4 linked regions of the Caenorhabditis elegans genome follow. The protein of the gene in region 3 purifies or fractionates together with the protein of the main gene of each other region. This does not show direct contact. Each region holds a gene or a part of one and is shown on either strand. Other genes may lie near its edges.

Region 1 (3,805 bases), on a different chromosome or scaffold from region 3:
CGTGGAACTTGTTCATTTTAATTGAATCACTTGTTGCCAGTGGGCTGTGTCCTGAATGTGAATGGCCATTTCCGATTGAATGTCCGATTCCGTGAATGATTTGCTCAGTTATCAAAATTATCAGGAATCCAATAATAACTAATTGATCAGTCGATGGAATCCATCCATAACTATCAACTATCGTCTGATTCCCTCTTAAATGCATTTCTTGATGTCTGACATGAGGGACAAGTCCGAGGAAACACGTGGCAATGAAGACACCGCATGAAGCACATCCCAGGAATGAGATTGATGTTTTTGAAGCGTTTCTGAAAAAAAAAATTTCTAGTTTTCATTTGTTATTTTGGAATTTAAACTGACACACAACATGTCCTTAGAAAAGTGTACGGTATCGATGTTGAGATCAGAAGAAGAATGAAAACAGCAAAAGCTGATGTTGTCATAAACAAAAATTGTTCCATTTTTAGTGCATTTTCTGAAAAATCTGCTTAGCGATTTTGATTTGGTTGGACTTTTTAAAAAATACAAGATCGATTAAAAAACGATTTGGAAGTTATTCAATGCTTGCAACAACAAATTATTTTATTGGACATTACTAAAATCAGAAGATCAACAATAAAAATGGGATAACTGTAAGAACAAAATTTTGAAAATCGAAATCCATAACAAGGAAAAATCAACAATGATGTAACAAAAGTTCATAAATTGTAAATATAAAAATAGGCTTAACGTTTGCTTAACGTCTTCCGCGTCCACCGCGTCCTCCTCGTCCACCACCACGACCACGTCCACCGAATCCTCCGCGTGGAGCTCCGAACAGATCATTGAAGCTGAAAAAAATAAAATAATTTCAGGAAAGACCGATGAAGCTTCTTACCTCTCCTTGTTGTTTCTCTTCATTCCCTTCTTCTTTCCTCCATAACCGAATTTATCCGATTTCAGTTTTCTTTTGAGTTCTCCTGCGTTTCTCATCGATCCTCCTCTTCCAGCTCCACCTCTTCCGGCACCACCTCTTCCTCCTAGACGGTCACCGAATGCTCCAGTCGGTGCGTCATCATCCTGATCAAGACCATGTCTTTTCACGTTGTTCAGCATATCTTCCAATTGTTGTTTCATTCCCTTTTTGTGCTTCTTCACAGCTTCTGCGAGGTTCTTTTTCTCTGTATTCTTGGCAGCGAGAACTTCCTGAAAAAAATGATATTCATGTTCAACGATTTTATTTTTGTAAATTCTACAAAACGAATCAGAGTAAATAGCATGTTTTACCAATATTTTAAATTTAAATTTAGTGATGGAAAATAGAAAAAATGTTTTATCTGGAAATAGATTTTTATTTCAGTTTGAAACAATTGCGAAGTGCTCAAAAACTGTATCAAAGTTGGATATTGCTGCAAAAAAATTTTATCCTGCAACTTTCAACTTGCAAACATTTTTGAGTGTTTGTCCAATCGAACCATTAGAAATTAAAGTTATTTTTCCGTTATTTTAATTAATTTTTAGGCTGAAATTTTTCTGGTTTTTTGAACAACCATTACCTTCTGAACCTTAACAGCAAACTTTTTCTCTTCACGAATACGGCGGAATGCTTCTTGTCGTTCCTTCATTTCTTGAATTCCGAGAAGTCTCTTGCGAACTTTCTGCATATGAGTGTCACTCTTTGCCATCTCTGCATAGTAATCTGTTGGTCGCAGAACTTTGATACCAAGATTCAGAAGACGTGGATAGGCGATTTGAACAGCTTTTTCAGCTTGCTTATAGCTTTAAAAAATTAGAATTTTCGAAATTATACAACCCTCGTGCAACTTACAAATTCAACTCTCTTTGGAAGTCGTCATTTTCCACTTTCTTGTCCATTTCAGAATGAGGAGTTACCACTTCAAGAGTCTCAACCCATGGAAGATCTTTTGTGATTTCAGCCAATTTTTCTTTCATTTCAGCACTTTTGTTGATGATCGGACGCTTTTTGGCTACTTGAATGTTGAGTCCATCTTTAAGAAGACCAGCAGCGAATGCGGCTTGGAGCTGCAATCAGTTTTTTTTTTTGAAAATACTTTTTAAAAAAGTAATTCTCACCTCTCTTTCATCGTCATCGCCGTCTGATTCAACCTCTTCGATATCCATCGCTTCCATTGGTTTTTCCTCGATAGCATTATCGAAGTCAAATTCGGATCCGTCGGAATCGCTCTGAAATTTTGAATTATTTTTTAAAACAAAGTATTTTCCTCACTTCTGGTTCCGGTTGACGACTTTTTGAAGTGCTGGCGAGCCGCTTGGCGAGCTTATTCATTTTACGAACCATCTGAAATCGATAATCAATAAATCCATTAAAAATTAGAAAAACACAATTATAAAATATTAAAAACGCTGAAAACGTTTTCTTTTGAAGATCGAAGAATAGTAAAAAATTAACAAATTATTATTACAAACATTCACAAGAACAAGAAAAATATAATACATGAAAACAAAAAAATTATTAACAATTATTATTGCACATCGAATCGAGCACCAATGAGAAGACGGCTGGCTGAAAGTTTTTAAATAATTAGCTTGCACTAAAAAATTAACAAAATAAATAGTATTTTAATACATGAAACTTTGACAAGAAACATTTTATATCGGTAATGTGTCTTCCCAAAAAACAGCCAATAAATTCTTGGCCGAACTGCGGCGCATTGAAATTTCTCTTCCACAAAAGATTTCTCGTTCATAATGCTGCGTCCAAACCCGAAAAAATCTCAAATGTTCTTCATTTTTTTAAATTGAACTGATAATTGAAGAGAAAAACGATTATCGGAAGCAGCATAAAGATATATTGACCCGAAAATTTACGAAGAGACCCCCAGAAAACATTATTTAGATTGAATTTTCTCTTTGAACAAACACATGAATAGGTTTTTAGTCTATCAATTGATAAGAGTCGGAGTGCAATGGTATGTGCGATGTGACTCATTTTTCTTCGATTTTTTGTACAATAAGAAACAATTTTTCAGAAAAATTTAATGAAAATGAATAAGTCTAAAGATCGAACACCTACAGTATCCACGATTGAGAGCTATGGAACGTAAGTTTTAGAATCAAATTTCTATGATATCTGTACTTTACAGAGATATGCCGCATGAGCATTATCGTTACTATAGAGAAAAAAATATATGTGGCATTTCTGGACCAATATGCTTTTGTTCAACTCTGATCTTAGTGGGATTTTTGATTTTGCTAGGAATTTTGGCGATAGTTATATTTTTCATACTTCATCGTGAGTACTAGACGTCCAGTTCTTAATATTAAGCATGTTCTTTACAGATACGTTATGAAACGAGTGGTCAGCTTCTCACTATCAACGACAAAATTATATTTCTTACTATTCTAAACCCTAAAAATGGATTTTCAACGTTTATACATGAATGAAAACATATTTTACGCCTATTGTTTGATTGGAATGAATTCTAAATTGATTTGATGTTTTAAAACTTTAAAATACTCACCATTTTTGCGGAGGAACGGGCTGAAACTTAAAATTATTTGCAGAAATTCGAAACTGAAAACTCTGTTTTGAATTGCCGCTTGAGTAAGATCCGCAGGGTGACACGCAGCGCACTGACCGCAACGCTCTAGACGACACTTGCGAGCATAGTTTTGAATGTGAACGCAGCGTTCCCGCACTGTTTTTATTGGTTTTTTGCATGTTTCTTTGTTTTTTTAAGTATTTATTAAACGTTTATCTCTCTTTACGATATTACGACATAAATTATTTTCTATCTTCTTATTCGTTTTCTTTTTTACAGGGATCTATCATTTAAGCCATGTC
Region 2 (3,106 bases), on a different chromosome or scaffold from region 3:
GATGAGCAGAAAGGACGATTGAATATGGCTCCGATGAAGAATCGAGTTTATTTGATTGAAGCTCAACATAAAGGAGATGTTGCTTGCGAACAGGTAGAATATAGAATTAGAATCTGATGATTTTTCAAAATTCTAACAAAAATTCCAGGCCGTAGCATCAACTCTTTCCAATGGAGGATATCTTATTCAAAGATGCTCTGATACTCGAGACACAGCTGCATTTCTCAAGGAAGTGACGATTCGTTTGCAGAACAAAGCGGCCATAGAAGAAATTTCGGGTGTTCCATTCAGCCAACTCCAGAATCTTCTCCAGAAAAAGAAGGCGGAAACTGTGAAAGAAGCTTGGGTCCGACAGCTGATGGTTTGCCCGGGAATGTCTCAGAATCGAGCCGAAGCAATTGCCGATCGATTTCCATCCATGGTATCCCTGCTTTCATATTTTCGTGCAAATGGAGACGATGCACCGATTCGACTTCTTCAGCTTTTACCTCAACTAACTAGGCCTATTACTCGTAACCTTTTCAAATTTTTTGTTCAATAAGTGAATCCTGAATGAATCAGAATTAGATTGAATTTTTTATAATTGAATGAAAAATTTTGAAAGGAAGACCAACAAAAACAACATCAACAAGAGAATAACAATGAAAAATGAAAAATTGTGGAATTTAAAATTTTTGAATGGAGACCAAAATCCGATTAAGCGAGATGACTCTCATTTCTGAGATACTCTCCAAGATCGCATTGATGTAGAACGACGAGAGCAGTTGGATCGGCACGCTTACTGTCTGATGTTCCTTTCGCTGACACTCCGAATCTAGAGAAATATATTTAATTAACTTGAATATTAAATGTGAACATACCCCAATGGAACATCGGTCATCGAGTATACGACGATTCCAGCATGAGTTGGAGTTCCGTCGGTCATTCTTGCGATTCCAGACTTGAGAATGTTGTTTCCGTAAAGGAATTGCTGCTCGGCGTTCGGCTTCAGCCACACCTTGAACTTGGCATACGGCGCCAAATAGTCGAGAGCGGTGATTTGGAGATGGAACTTTTTGCTTTTGGTGAACTTTCCCAAGCAAGTTCCAAAAGAGAGAAGTGGCTCACGGGCAATGCAGGCGGCTTGACGCATCAGATTTTCCGAACAGTAATAGACACGTTCCTGAAGAACAAATCGAGTTTTTATTGGATAAAGAACAATTAATTAATACCTTGTGATTTCTGAAGCAATAATCTCCATCATTTCTGTCGATGAGCATCGAGACATTGTCTCCGATGAACGAGGCCAACTTGGCAAATACAAGCGATGTCTCTTCTTCTGTCAGTGGACGCATCTGAATAATTAAGAAATGGGTAGAATAATTATAGACATAATAAAATAAAGATAAAAAATTTTGGAATATAAAACCAAAATTCAGAGCAAAAAGTTTTGTAATAAATATGGAGAACGTTTATAAATTACACAGAACGTGTACCCGAAGGTAAAGGGACAGGTATTCAGAAGAGAGAACGCGTTGAAAGGAAGTGAGAGGAATGATAAAGTTTACAGGGAAATGCCAAAGTAAGAAATTCAAAACTTTTTCAATATTTCAATAAATAGAAGTGGATATAAATTATGTTACAGGAGATGCGATTAAAATTGAAGGAGTCCAATTTGATCAAGCATCGCGTTGTCACTGATAGCCGATTTTGCCGTCGGAGCATCAACTTGAAGAACTAGCTTTCCGCCGTTTAACTGACGGACGAAGGATTGAGATTCGAGAGTCTGGAACGCTGAATGAAGTTCATCGTCATCAAGAGCGGGCATTCGAAGAGCCTCGCAAGCTTTATAATAGGCACGGAGCAGGGAATTCCGATCGAATGTGCATTTCTTGTTGGCAGAAAGTGTTAAAGAGACAGCTAGAAGAATTCGAGGTTGAAGTGGAAGACGAGCACGAGCCAATGGAGACGAATAGACATTGTTGATGATTCCAAGAACTTCACGACATCCATTAACTGGGGTACCAGGAACTTTTGAATCATCAGGAATCATACGACTTTTTTGTTGTTTGAAGATGTGGAGTGCGGTACGAAGATCTCCGCTCATTGCAGCCACTTTACGAGCGGTTAACTCGATTGCCTTTGCGTCAATTGAAGTCTGAAATTATAAAATGTAAAATACTAAATGAACTTAGGAGCACCGGTTCTCTGAGTTTTTCGCTTGGAAAGAATCAAAATGTGCGCAAACGAAAGAATTTCATAATGAGACTGCTGAAAAGTTCTTAGAAAATGGGCGAAATTGGTGATTTTATTTAAAAATAGCTTTTTTCTTCGAAATTTTTTAGCCACCATAATTGTTTTTTTGAAAATTCTCACTACAAAATTAGTTTTTTTTGGTACATTTTGAGTCTATACAAGCCGAAAACCGATACTCATCCTTTAAATTTAAACTTACCTCCTCGTTTTTCATTTTATCATTCAAAATTTCTACGATGTCATCTTTCGTATACGGTTCAAAAACGAGTCTTTTCGGTGGCTTCGCGAGCATCAATTTTGGAAGAAGTCGTTCTGTCAAATCAATCGAATTTGCAATTCCAAGAATGATAATTTTTCGAGACAACGTCTCTGGCCATTGAAAAGCTGCGTAGAGTGCAGCGTTCTTTCGATTCGCGAGATGATCAATCTCATCGAGAACCAGTACCAGAGGAGTTTTGAATTGCTTCACGTGCTTCTCAAAAATTTCTTCATTCGGCTTTCCGTCCAAATCCAAAGATTCGAAAATCGTTTTGAATAGTGCTGATTTGGTATTTGTTGAAGCGCAATTTACAATACAACTTCGAACTGATTTTCCCAATGATTTAAGAACTCTCATTGTGGTCGCAGTTTTTCCAGTTCCAGGTTGTCCACTGACATAAATAGACAACGAAGTATTCGTTTCTTTACTTTTCATAATCCATAATTTCAGTGAATCAAATTCTTCACGTCTTCCTTTCAAAGCCCCTTCGGAAGATGTTGAAATAATTTCTTCGCTGTCAGATTCCGATGAGCTCTCTTTTCGCGACTTTTTCTCTGGTGTTCCCTGAGATCCAGATCGTGACCTCGACTGTTTTTCCGGAGTACGTGGAGT
Region 3 (3,658 bases):
TTTTGGCATTATTAGAGGATGTTACAGGGTGATGATCAAGTACCACGTGTCGCGAAGCGCCCGACTCTGGGCTTACTGGAGCACCCTGCCACATCGAATGCTCAAGAAATACCCGGAGCAAACTATCTTCTACGCGACTTTCGGAGTAGCCACACTATTGATTGGCGGATATAAAATGAAGAAGTACTTGACAGAAAGTGATAAGCCATTCTACCGCGGATACTACGACGTCGTCCGTTCCAACGACCCAATCGCACAAAATTGGAGAAAACCAGAAGAATATCCAGCACCGTATCTTCTTTCAAGTGTTGAGACAGCTCATTGATCAATCGTCCAAAATAATCAACGAGAAGCCAATAAGTCGTAGACGATTTTCGATTTTCACTGTAAATTGGACACATTCGGTGTTTTATTTTTTAGAAGAGTTTTTAAAATGTAAATGAAAGTTTTCCTTTTTAAAATTTGTTTTCATTTGTCTACTGAAGTGTTTCAGCCACAACAATTATATTTTCTATATGTATTTATATTAATTTTATTTTTCATTTTTATCCAAAGTTTCAGGCTGATTCGAGCTCAAAGATGCACAATCTTCTGTCTCGTGCTAACGCACTCCTAGCGTTCACTCTTTGGGTGATGGCCGCAGTCACAGCAGCTTGTTTCCTGTCAACAGTTTTCCTCGACTACACTGTTCCAACCAAGCTCACTGTCAACGATGTCAAAGTGTAGGTTTTATAAGAGAAATAAAAAAATTGCGAAATTCTTTCAAGCGTTTCTCCGAAAACATTTTAAACGTATTTCTGTAAATCTTATTCCATTTTCAGGAGAAACGTTGTCGACTACGCCACGGATGAGCAACAAGCCGATCTCGCCACACTAAACTTCAATCTGAAAGTCGATTTTTCAAAGATTTTCAACTGGAACGTCAAGCAATTGTTTGTTTATTTGGTTGCAGAATATAAATCGAAAGTCAACGTAAGCTTTGGAAACTTTTATTGAGGATCGAAAAAAACTTCTTTTTTTTTGCAATTGTAGGAGGTTAACCAAGTGGTGCTATGGGACAGAATTGTGGAACGTGCTGACCGTGTGGTTATGGACGAGATCGGTGTCAAGTCAAAGTATTATTTCCTCGACGATGGAACCAATTTGCTTAACCACAAAAATGTCACCTTTGTTTTGAGGTTTGAATTGAAAATTCGATAAATAAAACCAAATATTAAAATATTTAGATACAACGTGATTCCAAACTCTGGCTATCTTCGTCTTGTTCAATCTTCCGATCAAGTTGTTGTTCCGTTCCCAACCACATACACAACTACTCGAAGATCCTAGTTACATCTTATTTTACTTGTTTCATATGAAATACTATGGGTTATGTGTTTCATCCGTAATTTATTTAATTCATCCGATTGTGAGATATTTCTTAACTTATTTTTGATTTTCTTCACCACATTTCATAATAAGATTTAAAAATCCGGGAATTAAATTAATTTTTATTAAATGTCTTGGTTGCTTTCACCCTTTGCATATTTACTTATTTTCGTTTCTCTCTTCCATATTATTTTAAATTACAACCTTCAGGATCAGAAATAATGGGCAAGTTCTCGAAAATCAAGAAAGTTCAAGAGGAGGAATCTGCGCACCAGAAAATGGAATGGGAAGCTGCCGGAGCCAAGGACTCGAGCTCTGATGATTCTTCTGATGAATCGGTAAATCTTTATTAGCTAGTTTAATTTCCAAAAGGTTTTTTTGGAACAAGATTCTAATTGGAAAGTCTAAAAAATTTATTTTCAATATCTAATACCATCTTATTATTAATTGTAACATTTTCAGGACAATGATGATCAGCCAAAACAAGCAACTGAGGAGACCCGTAAACGCGCGGAACTTTGGACAAACCGCGAACGTGTACTTGTGCTCTGTTCCCGCGGAGCCGACGTTCGCACCCGTTATTTGATGAAGGACATCAAGGATTTGTTGCCACATGCAAAAGGAGATTCGAAGCTGGATCAGCAGAAATCTCTGAATGTTCTCAATGAGATTGCTGAAATGAAGAATTGCACAAAAGTAATGTACTTTGAAAGTCGTAAGAGAAAGGACACTTATCTCTGGATGTCAAATGTTGAGAAGGGGCCATCCATCAAATTCTTGGTGCACAATGTGCATACAATGAAGGAACTCAAAATGTCAGGAAATTGTCTGAGAGCTTCAAGACCAGTCCTTTCATTTGACGATGCTTTTGATAAGAAACCACAATTGAAGCTTATCAAGGCCGTGCTTATGCAGGTAATTTTGTAAAAATTGAATTTGAATAAATATTTTGTTAGAAAAAATTATAATTTTCACAAAATAATTTCAGACTCTTGGAACACCACATCATCATCCACGCAGTCAGCCATTTGTGGATCACGTCTTTAATTTTTCTGTTGGAGAAGGTGATAAAATCTGGTTCCGCAATTTTCAAATTGTTGATGAGAGTCTTCAACTTCAGGAAGTTGGTGAGTATATAGTTTGAATACTTTTTATTTACATGCACAACATTTTTCTTCAGGACCACGCTTCGTTTTGGAAATGGTTCGTTTGTTCGCTGGCTCATTCGAAGGAGCCGTACTGTACGACAACCCAAACTACGTCTCTCCAAATGTGATCCGCCGTGAACACCGTAAAGGACAACATTCGTATATCGAGAAACAGTTGGCTGTGAAAGCATCAAATATCAAACAAGCTAAAGTCACAGAAATTCTCGCTGAAAAGACTGTTGATTTGGTTGGAAAGGTACGATTTTGAAAATAAAAAACATGAAATTAAAATCAAATTTGACAAAATACAGTCATAATATTTACTATAAAATTATTATACAATTATTTCCAAGTACCACAATCGATTTGAACGAGTTTTTAATTTATCTTCCTTTCCAGGAATTCGATACACAAAACAATGCCGCTGCTGACTCAGAGGCTGCTGCTCAGATCACTGCTCAAATTGAGAAACGTCGTGTTCGCAAGAAGAAGAGCCAAGCATCAAAGTACACTGGATCCGATTAATTTTTGTTGAATTTATCACATTTTTGTTGTTATTGTTGATTTTTTATCTCAAGCTACTCTGTTGTTTCTTACTCTGATCTTTTTATGCCTTTTTTGAATAAAAAATTATCAAAGCGAAATTCAATTGTTTTTTTCTAAATATGTGTCAAAACCAACTCAAATTTATTATTTTTCTAATTTCTCGAGATGCTTTTGTCAAGAATATGTCGTTTCAGAATGCTTACACGATTCACACGACTTCGTCCAATTCTACAGTTACGATATCTTGCTCAAAATTCGCATATCGAAGAGGAATATTTCGAAGAATTAGAGCCAACTGGAATCATTTCCAGTCACGAAACAAGTCAAGAACCTCCAAAACGGACAGGATTCAGAAGCCAGAATTTGTCAGAAGACGCTGATTTTGTAGAGAATGTGGTCGGAGCTTTGACTGATCAAAGAGCAAAAGATGTATTTGTTGTAAAATCAGAAGAAACAGAAATGACACCGTATACACATAAGGTAATTAATCCTCGTAATTCAGTAAGGAGAAAATTAATCTCATATTTTCAGATAATTTGCTCAGCATTCAATTCGCGACAAGCTTCAGCAATTTCTGAAAATCTTCGATCTCTTCT
Region 4 (4,217 bases), on a different chromosome or scaffold from region 3:
ACTTTTATGACTCAATACAAGAAACATGCACAGAAAAAGTTGGCAAAACGTGCGGTACAGAATCAGTAAGTTTGCTGGTTTTGGAATTAGAGAGAACTTATGATTTTCAGGCAAGGCGAGAAAGTGGCAACTGAAGGGAAAGAGAAGGAGAGAATTAAAGCATAGAACTCGTTTTCATAGATTTATTAGAAGAATAAAATTGAATTGATATGTGGTATTTTCTGTGAATTATTTTTTTACATTTTTTACATGCATTTCAAATCGAAAGAAACACTCAAGATACTTTGAAAAATCAACTTGTACGTTAAATAGTTCAACCACCACTTCATCCAAATGAAAAAAATATTCATGGTTTCTCAACTTTTATGATATTTTCAGAATATTTGCAAAGAAAACAGAAAGTTGTTGTGAAAGATGCATTTCCCTTTAATGGTAGTTTTCAAATAATATTTTTTGAACCACCGCCAATTGAACGAGGTGGTGGCCTAGGAACCGACAAGCGAATATTTCTAGGCCATATTTTCGTTTGAGCTTTTTATGGTTCGAATTTTAGTTTTTCACTGGTTTCTATTGTCTTCTCGGCTTTCTAAACGTTTTTTGTTCACTTTAGTAAAGTTGAAGATGAGTAATTTATGATTCTTTTTCGTGTAATTAATAACAGTATAAAAAACTGATAGTATCAAACTGCAGTGATTTTACGAAACTATGTTTTTATGTCTCACTGATGAATATGATGATAAAACTGACATTAATGAAAATGATATTAGACCAAAATCGCTGATAAACTCTTTAAAAATAATACCTGATGCAATTTTTCAATTTCTGTGACGCAAATTTATTTTGAAACCGGGTTACATCGTATAAATATGAAAATGACACACTATCTTGTACTTTTCCTCTTTCAAGGTTTCTCAAAAAAAAAATAGATTTTAAACTTTTTTAATTTCAGAAAATGTTCGTTCCGGAGCACATCACAGCGACCGGCGATGAAATGCGTGGACATGGCGGAGGTCCTTCTCGTCGTACGAATCGTCAATCACTTGTCGAACAAATGGAAGTTCCAGATAGAATAACTGTAACGGGAGGTGATACATATGGAAGAATTACGGAAGATTATCGTAATAGTGTGGATAAACTTCCAACGGAAAATGCTCATTATTTGACTGATGTGCCAGATGTACTCACTGTTGCCGATACACAATATCCGGTTGAAGATCAGCGGCGAGAGGTTAGCTAATTGAGGATAAATATATATTTAATAACTGCAACAATTTAGCTAGACACAGCCCGGACGGACAGCTCGATGGTTGTCGACGAGGATCCGCTCCGTGAACTAAAAATGCTCCGTCGCCAAATGGGTCGAATCAGTGCGAGAGTCTTCGAGTTGGAAGAGAAAAACGAGACACGCAGACATCGAGAGCAAGCCATTTTCGTAGCTCTTCTCGGTGTTGCAATAACGGCGTTCTGGTCACTTTTGAAACGATAAAATTCGGAGGATTTATTTTTTTATTCATTTTTCATTGCAATATGATTTTCTGATTTTCAATAGCTCTCAAAAAAGCAAAAATTTATCAAAACATTGATTTAAATGTTATAGATTTTCGTTAGTCCCCTTCATACGGTATTTTTGTTTCCGGTTGAACCCTCACATCTCCTCTTCTCTCTTCTTGTATTTATTCTTCGTTTGTCTCTCATTTCTTACTTGCTTCCCAAAAATTTTCTGAATAAAATCAATTATTTTCAGATCGAAAGATGGACTTGGCGGATTTAATGGAAGTGGAAAACGGTGATCACTCAATCAATCAGAAGCACGTTCAAATCACCTTTTTCAGTAAAGATGAAGAGTAAGTTAGAATTTTATCCAAATGCATCATGTTCGTTTTTCAGAATTCCGCAAATTCCGGATGCCGTCTTTGATGTTCCGACTGGAGCAGAATGTGATGATATGAATCTTCTATTGAACAAGACTATTGAAGCCAATGATGGTTTATTTCAGCTATTTCAAATAAAAATGTTATACAATTTTATTTTTCAGGTGCATGGAAAGAGCGGCGATTCGAATTTCTGGTTGGTGAAACGTTTTTGCGCACGAGTCTAGCTGAATTCATCGAGGAATACGAAGTGGAAACGGTAAATTTCATTTAAAAAAAGTTTAGAGTTTTAATAAAACAAGCTCTGCAGGAAACAATCCTTAAAGTGGAATGCGTAATTGGAATTGAAGCTCCAAAACCACTTCATGATATCCAAGCGCCTGATTGGGTTTCTTCGGTACAAATCGCAAACGGCCAGTATGTTTTTTCCGCTTAATGTTTGGTAAAAGTCTCATTCTGAAATTTTCAGCATTTTCTCAACAACCTACGGAGGAGACATTGTAATTGTGGATCGTAAAGGAAAAGAGACAAAGTTGGCTGTTAATTCAGCAAATCGTCTTTTAAAGTGCATCTCAATCGTCAAAGCACCATCTAGTCAGTTTTAACACTAGTTGAAATTTAAAAAAACGATAATTTTTGTTTCAGAGAAAAATCAATTGGACGGTACAGAATTTGTGGTCGGCGGTGAAAATCAACTGCTGACTCTCTATGCAATTGAAAAAGGAGCACTTGTTGAGAAGGTTAGGTGTTCGAATTTCGGGGTTATCAGTTTTATCAATAAATTTTGTTTCGAAAATTCTTTTTTTTTATTTTGCAGTCATTACTTCATTCTTAATAAAAATTTTCCAGCTCATCCTTCGTGGTCATGAACGTGCCGTCGAATGTGTTTCAGTCAACTCGGATTCGACCCGTGCGATTTCTGGATCAGTCGACACAAATCTCAAAATTTGGAACTTGGATGCATCTGATGAAGCAACAACATATGAGAAAGAAGAAGAAGAAGAAAGTGCGAAGAAACGCCGAAAGAAAGAAACCAAAACTAAAGTTCCGATGGTTACGATTGGAGGGCATCGTGACAAAGTATCCGCAGTCGAATGGTGTCCATGGAATTCTGGACACGCATTTTCGTGCTCGTGGGATCATACTATTGTTGAATGGGATTTGGAATTAGGTTAGTTCTAATGATAAATATCCTATTTATATACAAAAAATAATTTCATTCAAGCTGGTGAAATTTCGCGGATCAAAGGACCCAAATCATTCACAAGCATTGATCTTCATCCGAAGAGTGATCTTCTCATCTCCAGTTGTACTGATGCTATTCCAAGACTTTATGATCCAAAAAATAGAGGTTTGTTTGTTAATATTTATTTAGTCTCTTGTATTTATAAAACATTTCAGATGGAAGTATGGTTAAACAATCATTCATTGGACATCAAAATGGATGGGTTGAAGCTGTCAAATGGAATCCGTTGGATACAAATCAATTTGTTAGTGTTTCCACCGACAAAACTGCGAAAATGTGGGATGTAAGGTAGGTCTTGTTTCAAAAATTAAAGAACCATTCAGTTTTTACTTTAATATTCGGTTTGTTTCAGATCCTCAAAGTCTTCATTGTTCGACATTCATGGACACGATGATCGTATTTTGTGTGCCACGTGGAATGAAGGACTAATTGCAACTGGATCCGCAGACTGCACAATCAAAATCTTTGAGACTGCTTGATTTGTTTTGTTTTTTGTTATTCTACAAATTCTTATATTGTTTTTTTTTCTATATACCGCGTTTTCTATTTGTTGATTTTGATTTTTTGTTGAACTTTTTATGAAGTTATCCACTTGAATTTATTTTCCATTACCTTCTGACAGTTTTGAACTGTGTTAAATATTTCAATTATTTTTCTTTCTTCAATTTTTCATTCAAGTATTTTCAGAATTTTTCAGTGAGAATCAAAACAAAAGCGTTGCAAAATGGGGAAGGGTTTTCAAAACTTCATGTCCAAAAAGGACTTCCATCCATCCGCTTTTCGGAATCTCAAAATGGTCTGGGAAGCACGACAGAAGAAGTCTTTGGAGGACAAACGACAAGAAGAACTTCGAGTTGCTTATGAGAAAGAGCAAGAAATTTTGAATAACAAGTATGTTGCATTCAATATCTTCTCACTAGATTATAAATATTTTTCAGAGCTCTTCTTGGAGACGAAAAGGCCAAAATGGGATTATCGTTCATGTATGATGCTCCAGCTGGAATGACAAAGAGAGAAGAACCGAAAGAAGAGCCGAAATTCGAATGGCAACGGAAATATCAAGCACCACGTGAAGATTGGGCTAAAGGAAATGAAGAGAT

Evidence for each region.
Region 1: the proteins of K12H4.3 (region 3) and C18A3.3 fractionate together in Caenorhabditis elegans (co-fractionation; one large-scale study listed by BioGRID). This does not show direct contact.
Region 2: the proteins of K12H4.3 (region 3) and C43E11.9 fractionate together in Caenorhabditis elegans (co-fractionation; one large-scale study listed by BioGRID). This does not show direct contact.
Region 4: the proteins of K12H4.3 (region 3) and wdr-12 fractionate together in Caenorhabditis elegans (co-fractionation; one large-scale study listed by BioGRID). This does not show direct contact.

What each region holds. Positions count from the first base shown.
Region 1 is NC_003280.10:5,714,801-5,718,605, reverse strand, and holds C18A3.3 (putative rRNA-processing protein EBP2 homolog), read right to left. Parts: upstream 2,300-3,805; coding exon 2,228-2,299; intron 2,185-2,227; coding exon 2,074-2,184; intron 2,023-2,073; coding exon 1,808-2,022; intron 1,759-1,807; coding exon 1,536-1,758; intron 1,186-1,535; coding exon 878-1,185; intron 831-877; coding exon 737-830; 3' UTR 568-736; downstream 1-567. Other genes in the region: zipt-3 (Zinc/iron permease), read right to left, coding at 1-308, 361-461; C18A3.10 (uncharacterized protein), read left to right, coding at 3,006-3,061, 3,105-3,253, 3,301-3,311; lelo-4 (Late ELOngation arrest), read right to left, coding at 2,356-2,524, 3,483-3,682; Cytotoxic granule-associated RNA binding protein tiar-1, read left to right, coding at 3,801-3,805. UniProt on the Caenorhabditis elegans protein: Required for the processing of the 27S pre-rRNA.
Region 2 is NC_003279.8:4,266,634-4,269,739, forward strand, and holds C43E11.9 (60S ribosome subunit biogenesis protein NIP7 homolog), read right to left. Parts: upstream 1,335-3,106; coding exon 1,212-1,334; intron 1,163-1,211; coding exon 861-1,162; intron 815-860; coding exon 697-814; 3' UTR 566-696; downstream 1-565. Other genes in the region: mus-81 (Crossover junction endonuclease MUS81), read left to right, coding at 1-93, 149-541; cdc-6 (Cell division control protein), read right to left, coding at 1,634-2,137, 2,435-3,106.
Region 3 is NC_003281.10:8,044,456-8,048,113, forward strand, and holds K12H4.3 (Ribosome biogenesis protein BRX1 homolog), read left to right. Parts: upstream 1-1,578; 5' UTR 1,579-1,589; coding exon 1,590-1,706; intron 1,707-1,830; coding exon 1,831-2,283; intron 2,284-2,356; coding exon 2,357-2,495; intron 2,496-2,548; coding exon 2,549-2,772; intron 2,773-2,915; coding exon 2,916-3,041; 3' UTR 3,042-3,157; downstream 3,158-3,658. Other genes in the region: K12H4.5 (uncharacterized protein), read left to right, coding at 32-325; spcs-3 (Signal peptidase complex subunit 3), read left to right, coding at 580-722, 822-972, 1,033-1,178, 1,227-1,329; mals-1 (Mitochondrial Assembly of ribosomal Large Subunit), read left to right, coding at 3,258-3,542, 3,594-3,658. UniProt on the Caenorhabditis elegans protein: Required for biogenesis of the 60S ribosomal subunit.
Region 4 is NC_003279.8:5,655,445-5,659,661, reverse strand, and holds wdr-12 (Ribosome biogenesis protein WDR12 homolog), read left to right. Parts: upstream 1-1,744; 5' UTR 1,745-1,752; coding exon 1,753-1,844; intron 1,845-1,887; coding exon 1,888-1,985; intron 1,986-2,035; coding exon 2,036-2,130; intron 2,131-2,181; coding exon 2,182-2,288; intron 2,289-2,340; coding exon 2,341-2,465; intron 2,466-2,516; coding exon 2,517-2,611; intron 2,612-2,720; coding exon 2,721-3,042; intron 3,043-3,096; coding exon 3,097-3,222; intron 3,223-3,272; coding exon 3,273-3,405; intron 3,406-3,469; coding exon 3,470-3,596; 3' UTR 3,597-3,712; downstream 3,713-4,217. Other genes in the region: F55F8.7 (Protein-tyrosine-phosphatase), read left to right, coding at 1-65, 111-165; mff-2 (Mitochondrial fission factor), read left to right, coding at 953-1,228, 1,277-1,486; cir-1 (CBF1-interacting co-repressor CIR N-terminal domain-containing protein), read left to right, coding at 3,842-4,008, 4,056-4,217.